Linked DNA regions of Coturnix japonica. The protein of the gene in region 3 purifies or fractionates together with the protein of the main gene of each other region. This does not show direct contact. Links are inferred from orthologs where the notes say so. Each region holds a gene or a part of one and is shown on either strand. Other genes may lie near its edges. The genes, in order: RPS7, RIOK2 and TSR1.

The links.
Region 1: the proteins of TSR1 (region 3) and RPS7 purify together in Homo sapiens (co-immunoprecipitation; 4 studies listed by BioGRID and IntAct, with this or other methods). This does not show direct contact. The link is inferred for Coturnix japonica from reciprocal best matches to the Homo sapiens genes TSR1 and RPS7.
Region 2: the proteins of TSR1 (region 3) and RIOK2 fractionate together in Homo sapiens (co-fractionation; 3 studies listed by BioGRID and IntAct, with this or other methods). This does not show direct contact. The link is inferred for Coturnix japonica from reciprocal best matches to the Homo sapiens genes TSR1 and RIOK2.

Annotation. Positions count from the first base shown.
Region 1 is NC_029518.1:85,526,525-85,530,254, forward strand, and holds the start of RPS7 (40S ribosomal protein S7), read left to right. Parts: upstream 1-896; 5' UTR 897-1,049; intron 1,050-1,643; 5' UTR 1,644-1,650; coding exon 1,651-1,725; intron 1,726-2,118; coding exon 2,119-2,190; intron 2,191-3,654; coding exon 3,655-3,730.
Region 2 is NC_029547.1:45,706,423-45,710,121, reverse strand, and holds the start of RIOK2 (serine/threonine-protein kinase RIO2), read right to left. Parts: upstream 2,947-3,699; 5' UTR 2,883-2,946; coding exon 2,817-2,882; intron 2,419-2,816; coding exon 2,280-2,418; intron 1,408-2,279; coding exon 1,291-1,407; intron 321-1,290; coding exon 145-320; intron 1-144. UniProt on the Homo sapiens protein: Serine/threonine-protein kinase involved in the final steps of cytoplasmic maturation of the 40S ribosomal subunit. Involved in export of the 40S pre-ribosome particles (pre-40S) from the nucleus to the cytoplasm.
Region 3 is NC_029534.1:4,414,313-4,418,045, forward strand, and holds the start of TSR1 (pre-rRNA-processing protein TSR1 homolog), read right to left. Parts: upstream 2,945-3,733; 5' UTR 2,891-2,944; coding exon 2,791-2,890; intron 2,711-2,790; coding exon 2,607-2,710; intron 1,491-2,606; coding exon 1,274-1,490; intron 1,198-1,273; coding exon 1,063-1,197; intron 529-1,062; coding exon 104-528; intron 1-103. UniProt on the Homo sapiens protein: Required during maturation of the 40S ribosomal subunit in the nucleolus.

The DNA.
Region 1 (3,730 bases), on a different chromosome or scaffold from region 3:
AGCACACCTATGGACATGATGTTACAGTTTTTATACCTTTTCTCCCATATGTTTTCCCCTCCCCTCTCCCCTTTGGTTGGGTATTACAAGTTACAATTTTACCCGAGGTTTGCATTTGTTAATTACATTCTGAAATTTGTTAGTTCACTTGCTATCTTGTCAGTCGCCATCCTGCTGTTTCTGTTTCCAAGATGTCTCGGTACTCTTATCGTATTGATATGTTGATTCCCTTCAAAGCTTCTTCCATTTTGTCCCAGATGCCTTTGTTAAACAAAGATTCCAGTCCTTCCCGATATCTCTTCAGGCACATCCTTAGGTATGTCACGACTTGTATTTTTGTACAATAAAACATTAATACATACATTGTTGCTAGTTTATACAGGCATATTGTTAATTATTTTAACTTCTCCTCTTTGGATCCTTTATTACTCAGGTCTTATTTGTCCAGCACCAAAAACCAGTAGTGTCTATTTCAGACAGCTGGACAGACAGGAGCTGCAGTCTTTGTAGCTGTGATTTCTACCTAATAACTACAAATTCCTTTACTTATATAATGAGACCTTGAAATAAAATATTCTTATCTTATTCTAAATGCAGAAACAACATTTGATTCCCACAGAAGGATCATGTAGTTCCAACCCTCCTGCCTGGCAGTGCCACCAAACATACACCTTTACTAGATCAGGTTGCCCAGGGCCCCGTCCAACCTGGCCTTGAACACCTCCAAGGACGGGGCATGCTGACTGAGCTCCCTTCCAACCATGGCCGCCCTGTGACCGAGCCCAATCCCCAGCCTCCCCCCTTTCCTCGCCGTCCAGCAGCTGATGATGACCTCATCAGCAGGCGCCACGCCAGTACTTGGAGAGAGAGCCCTTTGTGGCATCACGGTGCCGGAAGCCATCCAGAATCAGCATTGCTCCGAACGATTCTCTCTGCCCTACTTCCTACTTCGGCTTCACCTCGCGGTGGGCGTTGCGAGCGCCTCCCGGGCCGCGATCTGAGGCGCTCTCGCGAGAGCTCTCCCTCTTCCTAGGCCGGCGCTGAGCGAGGTAGGAGCTCGGGCCTCTCTGGGGCCTGGTTGCCGGTGCTTGTTTTTCCCCAGCCGCCGGGGCAATACGGCTCAGGCTGCCCAGCGGCGGCTCCCTGGGCCTCGTCGGAGGGGGATGCTTCGGATTAGCGCCTGCCTGAGGCCCGATGGTCGCGGGGCTCTTGGATCTTGGGGAAGGAAACTGGCGGGGTTCTCCGCCTCCCTGCTCTGGTCGCGCCCTGGAGGAGGCCGTGACGGCGGAGCGGCGGGGCGCGGGGCTGGAGCGGGGGGCTGGGGCTGGGGCTGAGGTGCGGATCCTCGGTGCCGGGAAGGACGCCTTACTTGCTGGCGCGTGGGCTCCGTGAGCGCTCTTGGGATCTTGCTGGAGCGTAGAGCACACGCGGGTGCCGCAGTGTGCTCTACCCGTCCCTCCTTACCCGTCAGGTTTTGGCCTTGCAGCGGTCAGCTTACCCTGCAGTGTTGTGAGGGGTTTGCACAGCCCCTGAGATTGTCCTTGATTTCGTTTTAAAGCGTGTGGTTGAAATCCAGCACGTTACTCTACTTGTAGTGGTGGACACGTTCCCAGTGGCAATTGAGACGTTCTTTTGCATTGCAGAAAGGCCATGTTCAGCTCAAGTGCAAAGATTGTGAAGCCTAATGGTGAAAAGCCAGATGAGTTCGAGTCTGGTATATCCCAGGTATGTGTGTTTTCCTTCTGTTGTTCAGTAACCCTGTACGGGTTGTCAAATTAGTGTGTTGACAACTCTCTAAAGCTTAAACTTTAAGGCTGCTGCTTTCTAAATGCATTTCTTTTCTTACTACCCTGTTAGTCTGCCTTGTGTTCTTGGAATTATGGGATGTTGTAGAATGGCTTGGGTTGAAGGGGACCTTAAAGCCCATTCTGTTCCACCCCCCTGCCAGGGGCAGGGTTGTCATCCACTAGATCATGTTTCCCACCAGTTGAGTGTTGTTGCATATGTCAGCGTGGCCTGCAGGGAAAGAACATCTACGTCACTGATTGTGCTTTATTCTCAAGGGTTATTTATGAATTGAACTGAATGGATTTTTCTGCAACTTTCCTTTTTTTTTAGGCTCTCCTGGAGTTGGAGATGAACTCTGACTTAAAGGCTCAGCTGCGGGAGTTGAACATCACAGCAGCTAAGGTAGGCCAGGTGTTCTTGGCAAAGTATTGCTATGCAGCTTGCTCTCTGTTCATTTTTGCAGATGTTATCGTGCTATGGTTGTTTCACTATGTGCTGTTGTAGTATATCTTATACTTGCTATCAATGCAGAGCATTCTGTAATAGCTTCTTGTTTAGGAGTCGGTTTGAAAAGTCACTAGAACTTAAAACGTCAAACTGTCATTCAAGTAAGCATGTTTAGAATGAGTAACTTGTGTTTCTGCAACCTGGACTTGGGGTCTGAAAATGGCTTTTTTGTGTGGATATTTGCTTAGTAGGTATGTTTGACATATCTCGTGTTGGTCAGGGGCATAAACAGTAATAATTCTGGTAGAGTTAGCTTATAGTAAATGCTGTTTTAGACAACAAACAATGGATCAGTGGTGGGTCATTGAAGTTGACTGACTTGATGATGTGATGTGGGTTGGTTTTGTTTAAAGTTTAGTTTGTAGAGCCAACTGAATCCGTAGAGTAGGAAAAAAATCTATAGAATTTGTCAGGCAAGGAGACTGGATAGGACTTCTGAGGCTGATTGCTGTAGCCAGAGTTAAGCAGGGTGCTTTTTTGTTCTTGCCCAAGCCCACTGACATACATGTAGGTGTAAAGGCAGAAAGATCACAGAGCTGAGTTAGGGTGTGAGAATGCAGGGGTCAGCTTGGTATATAAGTTCACTTCACTGAAGGGGCCCTTCAGAAGATCTGTTCTGCTGCTGAAGTCCAGTGCACACTGTCTGTAGTGAGTTTTTAAACAATGTTTTAATTTACTAAGCCTACTATAGCTACGTGGTGTTACTTATGGTGACACTTTTGTGGGCATTTGAATTAACTTATGTGGGAGCATAGCTGGTGAAACACAACTCAGCTTTCTGCTCTGTTGGAGAATGAGCATCTCCTATGGACCTAACCACAGGGGTAAGTGCCTTGTAAACTTCTGCAATTTCCTTACGTTTTGAATAACTGCTGAAGAAAAAAAATACAAGGAGAAGAATAATCTGTAGGTATGATGCAAGCCTGTTTATTGGAGGTGAAGAGGAAGTGTTTTGAGTAGTGATGCATGCCTTGGTAAATAGTGGATAGAAGGTGATGCCATGAAGTGGTTGCTCAAAACCCAGCAGTTATTGCTGTAATCTTTGTCTGCATTAGAAACTTGGTATCAGCATGTGGGTAACGTTTCAGGTGTGATGGTAAGCATTCAGTATGGTTAGGATTCTCACTCATGAGTTTCATCTTGTTTTGCTGTAATGCATATACTTACAACAAATGCTCTGACAGAGGTTTTTCTGTTTAATTCTTGTTCATAAATGTGTTAAAATAGGTACCTCCTGGTGCTCATTTCTTAGAAAGTTGTAAGTAAGGATTTCAAATGTCCCTATTCAGGGTATTGATGATCAAAGTGAATGTTCCTTCTCAATCCCTAGGTGATGTTTAGTTTCTACTTCTCTTTCAGGAAATTGAAGTAGGTGGTGGCAGGAAAGCCATCATTATCTTCGTACCAGTTCCTCAGCTGAAATCTTTCCAGAAGA
Region 2 (3,699 bases), on a different chromosome or scaffold from region 3:
CTTTGAAATGCATAATTTAAGTCTGATAGGAAAACAAGCATAAATTCTATCAGTACCACAAATACAAAGTGATGAAAAGATAGTATGAGAAGTATCTTCCAGTCTATTACACCAATTGTTGACACTGTGCAAATGGCCACCTACCTTCATGTAGGCAAACTCCTTCATTGCTGCTAGCCGGGATAAATACAGCCATGACATTTTATGCCTGTGCTTATGGTAGTCACGTTTATTTTTCAGACTGCGAAAAGAAGTTCTTCCAAGCCTATGCAGTTTCATTGCAAACTGTTGCTCATCTTCATTTGCAACAATATAAATATCTAGAAGAGGAATAGCAACACAGATCTATGAAATAATTGGTATCTGACAAGTCCATAATGAAAAAGTATTTCTGGCATAGCAAGGTCTACCACACTTAGTCCAACAGTAAAGAGAGCTACATTTATGTATTGTCTGTTAGTGACATAAGATGGAAAAAATTTTTGTTGAAGAGATAATGGTTCTCCATTAGTAAAAATACTGATGTTATCTGAAACATCTTTCAGACCAAGAGGTAAAAGTAACTGGCATGAAAAACTGAGACAATTCAAGTTCTCTGACTACAGGATCCAACAATCAGGATAGACTGGTATTTCTCCAGGCCACCTGCACAGTGTGGGACTATAAACTTCCCTAACAAGGAAACACAGTTGTATGTCAAGCTCCTGTGTTCTTAATAACATGCTGGAAAAGCTGCCTACTCTCCACTGACTGGAAGCAAATCCCAAGGGACCAACCTCTTGATTTTAACAACTAGTTCATATTTCATTTCTACCATTTGTCTACAACAACTCTCTTTCTTCAATGATGAGCGAGACAGGCTGTGCCAAATTACAGCCTACGTGAAAGTGAAACCAAGACAGCAATCCAATAGTTTTGATTGTATTTTACGTTATTTTATTTTATGGGTGGAACATAAAAATTGAAGTTACCTTTTTAATAAAATAGTTCAAAATTATTCACAAAGTACGAGACATTTAGCATCTGTCAGCAAATACCTTTTTAAGCGATGAATCAAAATTTGGACAAAATAGTCAAACTGGAACAATGCTCTTACTAATTAAAAGATAAATAAATCAGATGCAGTCAAAAGCCTCATGAAAGGAGCCACAGATCTTGGTGTGTGACAGTTTAATGCTATGACTATCCAGAGATACATTTTCCAAGTTCCTATCAAAATACAAGCAAAAATACTGACATGCTTCCTTCAATAAATAAACAAATAAAAATTACATAGTTTTTTTTAATTACCTGATTCTTTGCCAACACCCATCTGGTTTCCAACAGAACTGATGACTTGCCGGGAAGACAGAGTTTTCAAGGCAAGGTAATCATATCCTGCATTAGTTAACCGATAGCCCTGGACCGCTAAATAAAAACAAATTATAAAACATTTCATTCCTTGTTACGGACACAGTACCTTAAAAAAACAACAACAAAATCCAGTTTTAAGTCTAGTTTCTTGTTCCAGCTTATGGTATAAAACACTCAAGTACTACATTTCCTCTTGGCAAGTATCAGCCAAATTTGATGGAACATTTAAATTCCTGCAACTCTTAGAAAAGCTAACTGTATAAAAGATTAAAAGCCGTATTATCAACTCCTCAATGGCACAAGCAGTTATGATACTCCAAATGGCATAGAAATGGCATTACTTTTGAAGATAATTACCTAGGAGATGTAGTAGGGATTCAGGATTGTTGTGAGGCTCTAAATCAACACTTAAAATGCTGAAGAATGGAGAAAAAAAAAGGGAAGAAATTTCATGCAAACTCAAAAGTGGGATGCAACTACAAGGTTGAAGGAGATGGGCAGGGGCTTGCTACTTGACATGTGGGAAGGACTAAAACTACTTCAGTAACTGTTTCTACTGAGGTGCAGGTGATATGACTGTCTTTTCCAGTTTGTGCACTATGATAAAATCGTAACACGTTTGGGTTGATTTCTGCATGCACCGGAATAATACCTTAACCAACAGGTATTTCATATTTTCATCAATTTTGTAATAGAGCCAAGGAGATTTAACTGCTCTCCTTTCCTCTTTCCTGCCTATGAGCTCTACTGGAATCAGCAGTTGAGCAGACAGCAATATCATTTATTGCTGAACAAATCCAAGCTCCCAGGCTATACCCCACAGAAAATGAGGTTAGCAAGTGGTCCAGATGTCTATGTGTGCCAAGCAATGGTACTACAGCATGAGGAAGGTGAGAGAAGGAGCCCAACACATAAACCAAACTCACTTTTGGTTCGTTCATAAGCCAGGAGCCTGTGTTTCGCCAGCTCTCTCAAAATTTTGTTACAGCCACCATGTTTCAGGCTTGCAATAGAAGCAATCAAGCTGGCAGGAACTATTTCATGGTTCTTCATTCCCATTTCCACCTAAAAGGGCAAATGAAAAACAGGTCTGTTAGCCAGTGTTCAACAGCTGAATAACATCAGATCCTCCTCGAGCCCAAACCACTTCTCTCAGGTGAATAACTTATTTAACTGCTCATGTGTATACAGAATCTGGAAGGGACCCAAGGATCATGTAGTTCCAACCCCCCTGCCTGGCAGGGCCACCAAAACACACGCCTTTACTAGATCAGTTGCCCAGGGCCCCGTCCAACCTGGTCTTGAACACCTCCAAGGACGGGGCATCCACAACCTCCCTGGGCAGCCTGTTCCAGGGCCTAACCACTCCCCTAGTGAAGAACTTCCCCCTAATACACACTATTACCTTCACAGCCGCCAGTCGAGCAGCCTGTGACCAGACGCCCCCCCCCTGCCCCGCTCACCGCGGTGAGGACTCGGAAGTGCTCCCTGGTCAGGTACCGCAGCATCACCACGTTCAGTTTCCCCATGGCGGCTCCTGCTCAGCCCCGTCCGCGCACAACACGACCCACACACCGCTGCGCATGCGCAATCAGATTTCCCCAGCGAAAACGCAATCCCGACTACACGCATGCGCACGAGCCGCCTGAGGCTGTGAGTCAGGGGTGCGCTGAATGCCGCGGGTTCGAATCCCGGGTTCGGCTGTTGGGGTGGGGAAGGGCAGCTTATCCCGTGGGCTGCTTTTGTTGCCCTAAGGAGGACTCGGGCTAAAAGAGATGAAAGCGCATAAAGACACCATTCCTGCCCCGTGCTGGGATCCTAGATTATTTTATCAAGATTTTTAAAAGGCAAAATGACAGAAAAACTGTTTGCTGGGAAGGCTGGAATATTATTTCCCCCCTCCAAACACTCCAAAGGAGAGCAGGCAGTCTAAACTCGTGCTTACTAAACGGGAAATGATGCTACTGCATACGTAGCACTGTTCTGTATTGTATACTACCTTGCAATGATGAGAGCATAGTTTATTCTGTAAAATCAATGACAGATTTGTTGTCCTGCCATTGTTTTTGTAGAAGGACATCAGTGAGTGTGTGATTAAATTATTTCTGCCTTTCAATTTATAACAATGCTTTATAAGAAAGTCTATTAATTGGAATGTGTCTGAGTAAGAAGCAATGGTTTTAAGCTAAAATAGTGTACATTTAGACTAGATATACGTAAGAACTTTTTCACAGTGAGGGTGGTGAAACACTGCAATAGGTTGCCCAGGGAAGTTGTGGCCTTTGGAAGTCAAGTTGGGCAGGGTTTTGAGCAAAGCGATGTAGTGAAAGATGTCCTTACCCACAG
Region 3 (3,733 bases):
CCCTTTTTCCCCACCCTTTGCCACCCATAACCAAACATACTTTAAGTGAAAATTTAGAAACACTATTTTAATGGGCACAGCAAAGCCATGATCCCCCACAAACCTGCACATCCATGTCCTGACTCTTCTTTCCTTTAACCACTCTGGGATTCAAAGAGAGAGGGTCAGGTGGGGCATCCACCTGGCTCATCTGGAAGTCTCCATGCCCCACAATATGTACCAAGCTGTTCACATTGAGGGTCTGTCCTCGGACAAAGCCAGACACCTTCAAGGTCCCAACCTGGTCACTCTCCTGACTGGGCACAAATTCAGCAGCATAAGCAAGCAGGTGAGCCCGCCTGTCTCGAAAAGCAAGATGACGCTGCTTCTGGGTAGCAAGGTGCCTCAGCAGCACTGAGGACTCCTGCTCTGTGTTTAGGGGAAAGAGCTTGACTTCTGGAAACCACTTCTCCATAGCTTTGGTGAGTTTCTTCTTGGCATCTATCCGCTTCTTTGGTGGCAGGTCAGTTCCCCCTGGGACAGCAACAGCTAGAAGGGACACAGAACAGATCCCCGTCAGAGCCCAAACCTCTTTATACCCCTTTCATAAAGCATTAACGTTAACTTCAGTGCCTGCAACTCAAATAACCAAAAACCAGACTGACAAGACAAGCTACAAAAGTGGTTTCACCCATTTAAAAAATAATAAATAAAAATCAAGACAGAAAATGTGTCTTTAGACATAAGATTTTAAGACTTAAAGTGACCAAAGAAATAAGGATCTGGGAACTGAACTTAGCAAGAAAATATCTCACTCCCTTTGCTCTGCACAATTGGACAACCAATGCAATACTAGTAACCGCCATATATCTGAGACTTAAACCTAGAACTCCAGCATTGCCCTACCAGGAGAGTCAAATAATATGATAGAATTTATCTGACCTGTTCTCAGAACAGCCCAAAGGCCTATGATTACTTATTAACATACATACAGAGTATCTATTAATTGCAACAATAAGCCCCCCCTCCCCAATCACCCCACTCAACCTGTAGCCCACCAGAAGCTCTGAATTCTCATCTCACCGTAACTAGGCAGCCCCTGAGCAAAAAGGCAGGAGAGACAGTGCTCCCCTGTGCTGTCCCAACCATCCACAGGATCCAAGATAAAAAGGAGGGAGTCGGCAACTTTCGCTAGATCCATGACGGCATGCAGATCCCCTGCAAGCAAAACACCTCAATTAATGGGGCTGCTGGGGGTACAGAACTCAGACCAATTAAAACAGTGCTTCCTCACCTGCCTGCGCCGTCACAAACCTCCAGCGCTGCTTGAGCCGGGGACAGAGGACAGCAAAGCTGCCGGCTTTTCCCTCATCCATATGGACAATGACCGAGTCTTGGCTCTGCAGCAGCCGGAGGGCATCGTGTGCTGCAGCCCTGCTGTGCAGCGGCACCGCCACCACGAGGTGTGGGGGCCCATCCCTGCTGCCCAAGCTCCGCTTTTCTGCCAGCACCTATAAGAAAAGATCCATGGCGTGAAAACCATCCATAGCCCAGCTCCTGTCCCACACCCTAGATCAAGACTGCAACCCCACAGCTCCGCCCTATTGTTACAGTGTGCCTTAAATAATAGGAGCAGTAGTCATGCTAAGGCTCGTAGTTAGGCCTAGTCTGTGTTTCTCACGTATCTAGGAATGCAAGTTGTGTTTCTTATGAACCCGAGCACGGATCTAAGTAATAAATCTTGCTTAGGAACAAAGCACAATGTATGTTAAAAATCAGGTTTAGATGAGAGAAAATGAATAGAAAACAGAAAGGGGGCCTCTAACAGGAACATCCAGTAACGTCACAGATCGAAGGAGGAGAAGAATGTACAGCACATTTCCTTAGGTCTTTGTGGGATAGTCTTACCTAATTGTAACCAAGGAAACATAACAAAAGAGGACGAAGCAATCCTGAAGAAAATGTATATAAACCTTGTGATTTCACAGAATCACAGAATGAGCCGGGTTGGAAGGGACCTCAAGGATCATGTAGTTCCAACCCCCTGCCTGGCAGGGCCACCAAACATACACCTTTACTAGATCAGGTTGCCCAGGGCCCCGTCCAACCTGGCCTTGAACACCTCCAAGGACGGGGCATCCACAACTTCCCTGTGCAGCCTGTTCCAGGGCCTCACCACTCTCCTAGTGAAGAACTTCCCCCTGACATCCAACCTAAATCTTCCCTCTTTTAACTTAAAACCATTTCCCCGTGTCCTGCTATTATCAGCCTATTCGAAGAGTTTACTCCCCTCCTGGTTATAGGTTCCCTTCAGGTATTGAAAGGCTGCAATGAGGTCACCCCACAACCTTCTCTTCCCCAGGCTGAACAAACCCAACTCCCTCAGCCTGTCCTCATAGGGGAGGTGCTCCAGCCCCTGATCATCTTCCTGTCCCTCCTCTGGACCCTTTCCCAAATCTCCATGTCTGTTTTGTACTGAGGGCTCCACACCTGGACACAGTACAACAGATGGGGCCTCACAAGAGCCGAGTAGAGATGGACGATCAGCTCCCTGTCCCTGCTGACCACCCCTCTCTCAGGTCCAACAGCTCCCCCCCATGCCACCCCCCCATGCCCGGACCCCTCACCTCCTCCTTGCGTTTCCTGCGGAGCTGCAGCGCCTGGTGCCGCCTGTCCACCCTGCTCAGATCGCGGCGCCGTCGGTGCGGCAGGGCCTTGACAGCGACTCGGCCTGTGGAAAGATGGCGGTCAGGTGGCGATAAGGACAATGGGGACCCGGTGTAGTGAGGCTCCGGGCCGCCCCCTCCTCACCTCCCGCCCGGCGCTGTGCCGTCCCGTGGTGCTTCCCGCCCTTATGGGCCTTGTTTTGTTGTTTTAAAGGACCGGCCCGGTGCGCGCCGGCCGCCACCATGCTGCCTTCACGCTGCCACCACTTCCGCTCGTGCGTCTTGCGTCACTTCCGGCGACGTGCGTGGGAGCGTAGGCGGGAAAGCGGAGATCGTATTCAAGATGGCGGCCGAAAGGGAAAGGCCTCACAGTATGGCGGAGCTCCTGCCGTGCTCCCGAGGGGGAAATGACAGGCAGGACGCCCAGCCGTTCCTTCAGCGCTTAATTGAGTTCTTTATACAGATATTTACACAGGAAAGTCCCATCAGGAGAGCCGGGTCTGAGAAGGAGGAGCCCAAAGCCAGGAGGCCCAAAGCCAGGCCTAGGGCTGCTCCATACACACACTGGGCAGCATCACCGTGCTCCCATTGCAGCCCTGTGTGCTATAGGCAGCACTATGCACTGACCGGCACAGCCGAGGCTCTGCCATACCCACCATCTCTTTAAGAACCACGACTGCCCTTGCTATTGGAAGCATTAGGCCCACACCGCCCCCCAGAACACCAGCAGGTAAGCCATTAAAGGTTAAATATTTACACTAGTGTTGCAATTGCCAGGAATGAAGTCAGTAAGTCGAGGGAAGCAGAGCAGCTGTTGCTCTGTTGTGCACTGAATGATTGCAAAGGGGGAGAAAAGAAATGAGCCGTGACCCTCCCCAGCACTGTGTTATCACCTTCTTTTCTCCTGCAAAGAAAGCAGCACAACGGTTTGTGAGGGAGGGTCAACCAAGAGCTGCTCTCTACCAATCCTTACCTACTCCTAAAACAAGCTGTCTAGACCTTCTAACTGTAAAAGCAACGTAGATCACGTCCTACATGACAGGAAAGAAGTAACAAAATTAAGAGACCGGTGACAAATAAACACTGTT